Lepisosteus oculatus: one gene and its partners. The protein of the gene in region 2 interacts with the protein of the main gene of each other region in a pairwise test. Links are inferred from orthologs where the notes say so. Each region holds a gene or a part of one and is shown on either strand. Other genes may lie near its edges. The genes, in order: brain-enriched guanylate kinase-associated protein, dtnba and sntg2.

What was found.
Region 1: the proteins of dtnba (region 2) and brain-enriched guanylate kinase-associated protein interact in binary tests that used the Homo sapiens proteins (3 or more experiments, as listed by UniProt). The two-hybrid records come from large-scale screens. The link is inferred for Lepisosteus oculatus from reciprocal best matches to the Homo sapiens genes DTNB and BEGAIN.
Region 3: the proteins of dtnba (region 2) and sntg2 interact in binary tests that used the Homo sapiens proteins (3 or more experiments, as listed by UniProt). The link is inferred for Lepisosteus oculatus from reciprocal best matches to the Homo sapiens genes DTNB and SNTG2.

Annotation. Positions count from the first base shown.
Region 1 is NC_090703.1:11,631,303-11,635,060, reverse strand, and holds the start of brain-enriched guanylate kinase-associated protein, read right to left. Parts: upstream 2,468-3,758; 5' UTR 2,381-2,467; coding exon 2,096-2,380; intron 1-2,095. UniProt on the Homo sapiens protein: May sustain the structure of the postsynaptic density (PSD).
Region 2 is NC_090697.1:47,497,904-47,501,661, reverse strand, and holds the start of dtnba (dystrobrevin beta), read right to left. Parts: upstream 2,564-3,758; 5' UTR 2,495-2,563; coding exon 2,418-2,494; intron 1-2,417.
Region 3 is NC_090697.1:42,477,453-42,481,210, forward strand, and holds the start of sntg2 (gamma-2-syntrophin), read right to left. Parts: upstream 2,863-3,758; 5' UTR 2,457-2,862; coding exon 2,388-2,456; intron 1-2,387. UniProt on the Homo sapiens protein: Adapter protein that binds to and probably organizes the subcellular localization of a variety of proteins. May link various receptors to the actin cytoskeleton and the dystrophin glycoprotein complex.

The DNA of each region.
Region 1 (3,758 bases), on a different chromosome or scaffold from region 2:
AGATTACATTTTATTCCAACATACTGACCACTAGTGTGGCAAAAATAATGATGCAATCACAGCTTTGAAACAAACCTGCAGCGAATGCCAGTGTTGCATTTAAAGACCAAAACATTCACGTTACAATTACAAGTTTGAAGTGCTCCCGATATTGAATTTCACTTAAATTGAAGGATAACATTATTGAGATTTTAACTTTCCCTTTTTTTGAAGGGGCAGTTTCAGTTACTGAACATCTATCCAATGGTTTTGCATTTCGAATTATGTTTAGGCACTAGTGAAAGAAAACCTAGAGGTTTATCCTTCAGTAAGACTGAATTAAAAAAACAATAAACAAGGCAGATCGGTGAATGGACATGAGAAAATCCAGCAGCTGAGGTCAAGGGCTGCAATTTGTCTGCCTGACAAAGATTTTATTCTGACCTTTATGTTTCTACCTGAGTGGAATTTTGTCTTAGAATGTCTTTTTTTCACATTTACAGTATAGCTGCTTCTCAGTCATGAGTGAGAACGGACTACGAAACAACTGGTCATGTCTGCAAATACTGAACGCACACACACACATCCACCCACACACATCCACCCACACGCGCTCACACACACACACAAACGCACACACAGTGTTCTGATGCAGGCATCCACAATGTTTACTGCAGCACTGGGGCACTCTCTATACCCCAAGCACATTTCTATCTTCATATTTTATTCATTTGCATGAAGGATGCAGTTGAAGCATTTCACTCAGACACGGGAAAAGTATGGTATGGTGTTCGCTGTATATAACTGGTTGTGCAGGCATTTTCTCAGTCCCTCGAACAGTTGCTAAGGTGATAGAAAAAACTGAATTCTAAGCAGAAACAAGAGAGATGTTCCATTTTTACTTCATCATTTACTTCATGTCTATGTCCTACATAATGAGGTAATCCAGCTGCCAAAAAATTACCTCTAGCTGATGGTATTTAAAAATCACAACAAAAGATCAGAAAAAAGAAATGCACTGGATGTGCATTATTAATGTAGTGCGCTTTCAGAGGCATGCTTCTGATTGTGGGACATACTCAATCTCTCACTCTGGTGCAAGAAAGCAGATCTGCTTGAGGCTTTAAAAAAAGACTATGAGTACCTCCCTCTACGCCCCCTCTGCAGGAGAAAGAGAGCTTGTCATTCATTTTTCTGCATATTTTTGAACTGCTTTTAGAAAGGAATGAAATTTGCACACAGCAAGCACAGCACCAAGATATAAGCGCCCCGATTGAGAATAGAATTGAAAACACATCCAAGATAATGAAAGACTTCGAGCAAGTGAGCTCAGTGGGTTAATTAATATGCTTGGGTCAAATTCTTCTCCAGGAATTAACGATAACTTGTCCAGATAAGGAGGTCAAAAAACAGTTATTTAAAGGGCCGTAAAGGAAAAAGTTATAATGCTTAATCATTGTCAAAGACTTCATGTTGTCATTCCTGCTACAGCAATTTGCGCTAATGTATTTTTTGCAGATATTGCAGTTTTAAGAATACAGTATATACATGCATTTATTTTTGTGTAACATAGTTATTAATTAATGGAGGTTGTTGATAGATAACATCAAGATTATAGCCTGAGCATTATTTTAATCAATAAAAAATAAATATGCCCTACATTTGTTGCTGAGTTGCAAACATTTTTGAAAGGGATATATCTGTAAGGTCAAAGGATGGATGAAAGCTGATATGAAGCAAATAATTGATAAAGAAAATGTAATCAGTGTCTGTAAGCAAGCTTTAAAACTATTCAACAAGAAAAGAAAAAAGGAAAAAGGGATGTCCTCAAAACATCAGATCCACTTCTAGTTCCTACATTTACTTCACATCAAGATACAGTACATGAGATGTTTCTTTGAAAGCTTGATACATTACAGGTATTTCAGTTTCCAAAATAAAGTGCTGTGTAGGCATTAATACAGTAAGTGCAGGAATGTCCGGTTTTGAACAAAATAAATCGTTTTACAAGTGGTTCAAGATGATCTTTAAGTGCAGTTTCTCAAAGGCTGAGAGGGTATGCAATTTTCTGAGAGGGGTTGTGTTTCATACTGTACATCCAAGAGCATGTACTCACCAAGCTTAAGCCCCTTGGCAAAGAAGTAGACCTGAAAGGCGATTTTTGAGTGCCTTGATGTCTGTTGAAGATTGGACTGGGGGACCTCATCTTTTCAGGCTCTTCCTGGATCTCATTTGTGGAGGATGTTCCTGCTTGTTCCCTCTCTTGTGGAGCATCTTTTTCGATTCCCTTTGGACTGGCTGCTTCAGGGGTGTCCTCGCTCCTTACGCTGTCTATGTCAGTCTCGAGGTAAGCCTTCCCAGCAGGCTCTTGCTGGTTCCCAGCTTCCTGCGCCCTTCTCATGCTTTCGGTTTCCTCAGAGAATCGGCAGACAGACAGTGGAGTTGTTGACTGAACATGGGAGTCCTTCTTGTCCAAAACCCTGAAGGCTTTCAGGCTTTGGGGATCCAGCACTCTGAAGGTCACCTCATCCAGGAACTGGGAGAACTTAAGTTTGGCTTCGATCTTTTGCTCTAGCACCGCTGACGTGGCATCAGAACCCTGACTGAAGGTCAAGCTCTGCTCAGAACCACTCCCAGCCCTCTCTGTCTCTTCCTGGCACTCGGACCGAGCGCAGCCCCTTCTGCCCGTACTGGGGCATGAGCTGCAAAATTCCCTGCTAGACTTTAGATGACCTCTAAAGATCTCCCTGTTGTTCCTTTCAGTGGAGCTCCTAATGAGGCATGTGACTTCTGAATCGGCACTGTTTGTATCACATTGACTGTCCTCTTCACTGGAGCTGCAATTTTTTGGTCTCCTGGTGGGGAAGAAGAAACCCGGGTGATAGTGAAGGGAGTTCTCCCTGTCACTGCCAGCATCTGTAAATGGCGAACAGGAAGAGGATGAGCAGGAAGAGGCTGTATCCTGCCTACTGCCTGCTGTCCCTGGTCTGCATTGCTGACGAGGGGCACCAGAAGCCACTTTGGCCACTCTGACTGAGCGGCTCTGCATTTTGGGGTTAGAGATGTGCAATCACTAATTGTGTGAATTGACAACTGAATCATGGTCCAGTGAGCGTCACTGTTTTTAAAGTGTTATTCACCCAATCACATACGGTACTTGTTCTGAATATCCAAATGGGCACAAACCCATCACCTCTCCCATGCTGACTCTACCTTCTTCATTGCCAAAAAGAAAGCCACACAGTTCACTGTTTTGGAAAAAAAAGGAAAGACCATTTTATGGCTTTGTGAATTTTTATACTATATGTATCCATTTTAAAATGACACAAGGGATCAATCAAAAAGATACTATTTTTCTCTCTGCATTTGCTAATTAGGCAGCCTATTGATATGTGATACAACAAAAAACAGTAGGTTTTCTAGGTCAGTGGCTCCACGGTATGGGATATTGATTGTAGATGCCACATGGTATTTTTTGGATGTGAGTGGTGAAGCGGAATTAGAGTGCTATAAATCAATGGCTAGAAATGTAGTTATGGAGTTCAGTGACATGCAGTGAGTGTTGTTTATTGTCTGCGACAGAAATCATCTGTCCTGGTTCAGGCGTATTAAAATGCCATTGATGGAGCCATTAATATCTTGTAAAGTGTTGAGGGAGTTCTATGTCTCAAGATGACAGGTCAAACAATTCACCTCATCATAGGTGCAGTTCCTAGGGGTAACAAGTTCACAGGATGTGTTGTAGTGGGTAGGATGGTATATACATCTACCCCTCTCAC
Region 2 (3,758 bases):
TTTCAGTTTGAACCGTTTCATGGGTTCTCAGTTTATTGCTTGCTGTGTCAGTTGTCTTTGGGTTGGACAAGGACTGTGCCAATATAATATTTTGAGCTGTATACCGAGGATATTCTGTGGTAGAAAAAAATGAAACCATGTGAAAAGCTGACCTTTCCTTCTCTCTTATGTCTCACAGGCTCCAAAGAGGAGTTAAAAAGAATGCTATCCAGTATATCAGATTTAATTTCACCCGGTCCTTCAATTTAAACATCTCCCTCCCCACTTTTGAGGCAGCAGAATCCATCAAAGTGATAAAAATGTCTTGAAATAGCATAACCCATTAGTAAAACACGACAAGTTAAGCCATCAGATTTAGTCAATGTGACCTGCTGTATGGTACACTATGTCATCAAACTACATCAAGTAAGCAGTTTAAACAGTTGGTAAGCAACAGGAAGTTGTACAGAAAGTATCATTCCCATTGAATTTATCATTTGCGACAATAAATGGTAAATATTTCATTATCAGAAACCTTTGATATAACCTTTTATCTTTGATAAAAAGATCTCTTAAAAATCAAGTTAGTTTGCATACTTATAATAACAATGGCAGAACACCAGATTGTCACTAGTTTTTAAACTACAGTACTGTATATGGAACTAAGATCACAAGTGCTCAAACAACTTAATCACAGAGTATTTGAAAGTTAAGCTCTCTGATCATATGGATTTCATTATGTATAATCACAAGTAAGCAGTCAAAACCTGTTTCTGATTTCTTCATCTACAGTATCAACAATGCCTTTCACCACTGTTAAACAGAAAAAGTTTTCTTTTTAGTATATTTTAGGTTTTAATGTAGGTTTTAATAAATTAAGTGTATGCTGATTTAGAAAATGTACAGTAGGAGTATTATACAGTCCTCATATACACGGATGCTTCATTTTTCATTATAATACTAATACATAATGTTACAATTAAAATTACTTTCCAATTTATATTAGTTGGGATGCAGTTAGAATTTTTTTTGTGTGTTTTGACTTGATATCTAATCATCTGTAAAGAGAATTTTGAGAAAGAACCTTGCAAGTCACATTGCATATGGTTACAGAATACATCACATTTCCAATACACTTGCATAAGAGACCAACACCTGGGTAGCTCAATTCTTCTCATTGTATTAAGTTGTCAGATCTGTGACGTTATTTGGTGATGACTGATGCTAAACCTTTAACTGTCCTCATTGAAACAGAAGTTAGAACAAAAGACTGCTGAGCTCTTCAATGGACAGTTCATTGAGCAGAGGATGAATAAGCAAGGAATTCTTATTCTCCCTTTACAAGATAATGGCACCCTGTCATGAACACATTTGTCTCAACAAAATGGTTGAGCCACACATCTACTAGACTCGTTTCACAAGAAGGTATTTGGAGTAACAATACTGGTAACATGGAGGACCAAGGAAAGATCCACAAGCTCAAGATAAATGTATTTTAAACCTATAGGGGGACAAATATTATTCTGATTAAAGATTGAAGCACTACTGGAGCCAGGGTTGCATCAACAAATGGGACACAGGTCTCAAAATGTTATTTCCACAATGATATTCCACTCAAATGGACATTTTATTGGAAAATTCTAACTTTCTAAAGAGATGAAATACTGTATATAAGTATATGGGCTCAATTATATGAGATAACATATGGGCCAACTAAGTGATTACTTGTTATAATATTCAAATAATATTTTTTTAAAAAAAGACATTTTTTTAAAATAAACTGCTTAGGTAGTAGAAAAAATATAAAATACAAAATTCAATTCCCAAAAACTTAAATACTGCAAAGTTTGCAGATGGGAAGGAGGCTGATACAAAGCAGGACCTTTTGAAAATGGAAAACAGCCAGGGACATTTAGCATTTTCAATCATTGTCGTCACATATTTACTCCCTAACTGTAAGTTTATCTGTTTTAAGTCTTTTGAGAACTACTCTTGATAGCTGCTGAAGTCTTTAAAAAGGTTGACAACAACAAGGCATAGCTTCCTTTAAATTGAGGATAAGAAATGAAGGTCTTGTATTCTCAAGATGAATGTACTTGAATGATTTGTAAATACATAACTATTTTTAATCATAATTCCTCTCTGGAAGAATAGTTGCTTTCTGGGATTTTTATTAAACTATTTTTAATTACATAAAAATGTTATTTATTTTTAAAAATATTTTCTGCTACACTTTTGATTTTTTTTCAAAAACTAGTTGTTCCTAAAAACTGTATGTATCTCACATCTGATGTACGTGTGCTTTACTAACACCAACATGAGACACAGAACTAGATTTCAACAGTACACACCACCCTTTGTCAAGATCCAGGAGGCTGTCAGCCATATTTACATAAGAACTACAGCCGTGTGATGCTGAGTCACTATTGTAGAAGTACCTGATAATTGCAGTCATTTTGTGTGCCTCCCATGACTGCTGACTCTGGTAGCAGCCACAGTAAACAAGTGGCTTCATGGATTTGACAACCCGGCTCAGTTAGATGTGATGAACCAGCTCTGGCCCCTGAAGGACTCAGTGAACCCATCTGCCTTTTTGTGTGCATCTCCTCAGGACATGGATATGCACAGCCAGAGTGAAAGAGAAAATAATGAAAAAAGAGACATACAGCCTACAGTTTCTACACCGTATTTCATGATAACATCTCACTGCAATGTTTTAAACAACAGTGAGGTTCTCAACACCTTAAATTTACATACAGAAAGGAGAATAAGTATATACACGGATCATGTATGCTGAATGTTAATTTCATTACAATATTGCACTGTATATCTTTAACACCATAACCTTCTGACAGCAATAAATTTGGCACTACAGTATGTGCCTCATTGCTTTTGCAGTTTATACTGGTAACCCTTTAACACATTCAAGAAATCAAGCCAAGATCTATATTAATGAGATAAAATAACAAGGTGGTATGTTTAGGCATTAGTTAGAAAATATGTATATGGCCTAACACGTAGCTTTTAGTGGTAAAATGATGGCAAAATCTCCCATATACAGTGGAATTTAAGCAATATAATCCAAAATGATACAATCAATCATACAACACCAAATAAAAAAAATATTTACTAAATGCAACGAACATTTAGTCATAAATAAGTTGGCTACAATCATTTAAGCAGCAGTACTAAAATATCTTCATTGATTTAAACTGCATAACTCTTAATTTATAGCTTCTTTCAAAAGCAAAGACTACAGCTGCTATCATAAGACAGCCAATGTTGACTTTAAGACAAATAAATGTTATGAAACAACAATGTAGAAGTTTTAAGGGCTTCAGAAAGAGCAGGTTCAAATTTCAGAACTGACTTTCTAATTTGTGTAGCTCATTACCATACCAAAACAGGCTAGGTGGATCAAATGGCCTCTTCTCATCTGTAACCATTCTTACGTTCAACTTGAATAAAATTTAAGCTAAACAAAATGAAACACTTCGAAATTTTTAAGTTTTTTTTGTTTGCAAAACCTTTGCATTGCATGCATTATACACATTACATGCGATTGCAATTCAGTATATGTACTGTATGAAGGTGTGGCATTTCCCCTCACTGTCAGCGGCATTGTAGAATTAGCCACTTCAAAACACACAGGTTTGTTTTCATCTGTATCAAGCTGTATAAAATAATATCATAATATAACATTATAAGTGTGACAAGGCCATTCAACCCATCTAGCTTGTCTGGCTGCTAGCAGCTAATTGATCTTTAAAACAGTTTCT
Region 3 (3,758 bases), about 5.0 Mb from region 2:
TGTCAGTGTATTGTGAAAACAACACAAAATAGTATCAGTGCCATATCATTTGCTTTACATAGCAAAACGTAAGGTTAATGAAACATAGACTGCATCCCGTATAAAGGCGACAATTATGTGAAAAGGACATGAGTGGTATAAAAATAGGTACATTGATCTAACCATCAATCATCTTTTCTGTGATGCTTGTGGTAAAGTAAAAATGAAGAGTATAGATTGGAAAGTTCCAAGTGAAAGTGATAAAGGGTATTCAACTGCTCACACGAATGTCTCTCTGCCAGGCAAAGGCAGCTCAGTCCCAATTTCAACAGACTACCATGTAACATATTTCAAAGATTTTGTTTTACTGGTGCACCATGTGACAAAATTGCAAATTGACAGACAACTGCCTTATCAATTACAGCTGGTTAGGGGGTCCACATACTAGACAAACACCTTAACACAATAGTGTTGACTATCTCCTCAAACTCTGCAGTAGTTTGTGTTGATCTCCAAAGAAGGTTGAGACAGGGTTTCTCAGCTGCAGCTGCGTAGGCTCGTTAGACCCTTGAGTCATTTCTGCCAAGCCTGCCTTGCTGCTAACAGTGGCAAAACACTTACTGATTCCATGTGAAAAATTACTTCTCCCACACTTGATCGCTTCAAACCTGGGAATGCCATAGACATAACAGCATTCATCTTCAGTTTTTATCTTCAAAATTGATCAATCATAATGTCCCATTCACATAATTTTCTGTTTTGGTTGGTTTGCAATATAGGTTAACATTTGCTACTTTTTTTAAAGATGTATCTGTTGTATCTCATCATATATGCCGTACTCATTAAAAGTGATAAAAAAGCATATAATCATAATAACAGTAATCAAGAAAATAAACTTTTACAAATTGGGTGCCGATCAATTAAAGCATTTAGCAGCATAAACAACTTCAACTCAGAAAGAGGCAGTGTGGCTAATATGATGAAAGAGTCTTGTACTGTACTTGATTAAGCATTCTGTGTTATGTAAGTGCCAATATCATGGGTGTCTGTCACTTTACAATCCCTTTATGTGTTACGTTTTAACAAAATATCTACCACAATCTGAAGTATATATATGTGTGTGAAAAGGTAGAAATCATATATTTTATCAATTAAATGGCAGTGATTTTCAGACATCAGTCCATAATTAAAAAGTGGGGGAGGAAATATACAGAACAACAGAAAATAAGAATCTAAATCACATTTAAAATTCAATTAAAACTGTTCAATGTCAATCACATTGACACAATTTCCTGCACTGTGCTAAAAATGGTATAATTCGTCCTTTGATAGATAAAGTACGCCATAGAAAGAGTGTCTAGAACCTTTAAGACTTCATACAGTATATTTACACAAATACTATATAATATGGCCACAAATCTATATGCTTATTAATGTTATCAGTAGGACTATCATTTCATTTGTTCCTTCTTGTATAAACTCCATAATTACAATTCTTTCTCCAGTGGTGTATGATAAGGATTAAGGTTTTTATGCTCTGCAAGTTTGCTTGGACTTAGCAAGGCCATTTTCAATATTCGTTGTCTGCTGTAAATCATTTTCTGTTTGCTGTGCTATTCTGAGTCATTAGATGGCTTTGCTTTCTAGGCATACAGTAATGTAACACAGGAAATTTTGCAATTACTAATCTCAGTGTAAAGTATATTCAGGTTACATATTGTACATACTGAAAACTACAGTGCTTTTCTCTAATGGTGAAAGAAGAAAAATAATCCAATTAATTTAACAATAACTCAATTGGAGTACACCTGCGTACACTATTAAACTGTTTTTGTCTTTTAATTCCAGAAATTCATAAAATTAAATTGGAAACTTATTTTACATCAAGAGATAATACTATTTTATATAGATATAATAACTTAAATTGACATTATTAGCTACTTCATGCTCATAACATCTCAAAAAATATTTATCTTTTCATTCTTATATTTTTGTTCAGAATTTTTGAAATCATACCCCAGATACAATATTGGCAACATTGCATAAGTACTGAACAGCTTGATAAAAAGAAACAAAAGTTTGAAGGCTCTGTTCATAGAGTAAGTTTCAGTATTTCACTCAAAATAAATTAATTGTTTGTAGAAGCATTGGCCAAATACCAACATTAAGGAACATGTGTATCACAAAAGAATCAAAATGATTGTTTCTGGAACTGTAGCATCACATCGTTCACATGCATCACATTTATGTCTCCTAACTTTATTTCACTTTTCTAATTCATAAAGAAAATCCAGCAAATCACATGAAACATTCTTACTTATTAAATCATATTCTACACATTGCTTGAAGCATGCATCTTCCACTTTGAGCAACGGCACAAAAAAACTGAGATATAGCAATCTACTTGCCCAAGTTGGTACAAGAAGGCTGTCAGGGCGCTCAAGCAGTTCTGAAGGGTGATTCCCGGCCACGTTCATTTCCCATTCAGCTGGAGGCTTTGAACATTGAACTCAGAGGGTCTGTTAACAGTCATTTATCCAACAATGCCAGGCTAATGCAGGCTATTGATGCATCCTTCCCCAGATTGTAAGAAACAGAGGGAGTGAGAAAGATGCAGCATGCTGTTTGCTTGCAGACGGAGAGGAATTTAATGGGATTATACCCTGCTTGCCACCAGGATGGCGTCAGAGCACTTTAATTTGACATTGGCTTCAGGTTTACACACCAGTGAAGGAAATCGGCCAGAGAGCCCAGTGATAAGAGACCCACTCTCTTTAAGTTAACTAACTCCTCAGGGTATGTCTGCCAAGCATTTGCTTCTTTTGATGCTGCTGCTAGTAGCCAGCTGCATAATGTGCTGTGGATGAGAGCTGTGTGCTGCACAGTTCAATCTGTGTACAGCATGTTGCCTTCTCCACCTGCTGGCTTTCCAGTTCTCCTCCCATTTGCCGAGTGATGACATTTCTGTGTGTTATGTATTAACTCCTGAGTGTCTGTTTCTTAAAATAATTAGTTGCACAGCATGCAGCTGCAAATGTCTACCCTGGAAAAGAGTGCTATGGAAGTAGTATTTATAGACTCAAGAAAATAATGTTAGCAACTGCAATTTAAATCAAATGGCTTTTCAATTCTTATCAATAAAATCATTATATTTGCCTAATTCACTGGACTCATTGTAGCTCTTTAGTTGACACCCATACATGAAGATACATTTACACTTTAATGGCATACAAATCAGATACAGAGACAGTCATTTACAGTAGATTGCAGAGCAAAGATTTCAAGACAAGCAAGCAGGAATTAGTCAAATGAATAATTCTATAATTGAATTGAAACACTATTGTAGCTCAACAAACAAAATATGTTCAGTTTTGATGAAGCTAACAAAAAATTGTATGTAATTCAAAGAAACCATTGTTGTGTTATTACTTTATTAGAATATTTATTTAGAGGATGTGATTTGCAAGCATAACTCTGGTTTTGCTATTATAATTGCTACAGGCATTATGATAATAGATTTGTCTAGCTTTAGTTGCGTATTAATGAAAAATTAGCTAATGTGAATGTTATATTATGAACCTGGCAGTTGTAGGCAAATGAAATAAATCAGGCTAAAATTTCAAAGATAAAATCAGGTCCTGACTTCAGCTTCCCTTGCAACCACATTGTAATAATTACTCACCACTTATTGTCAGGAAATACATAAGTGGAAACACAATGGTACAATACATACAGTAGCTATAAAACGTATTCACCCATCCTGGACATTTTCACATTTT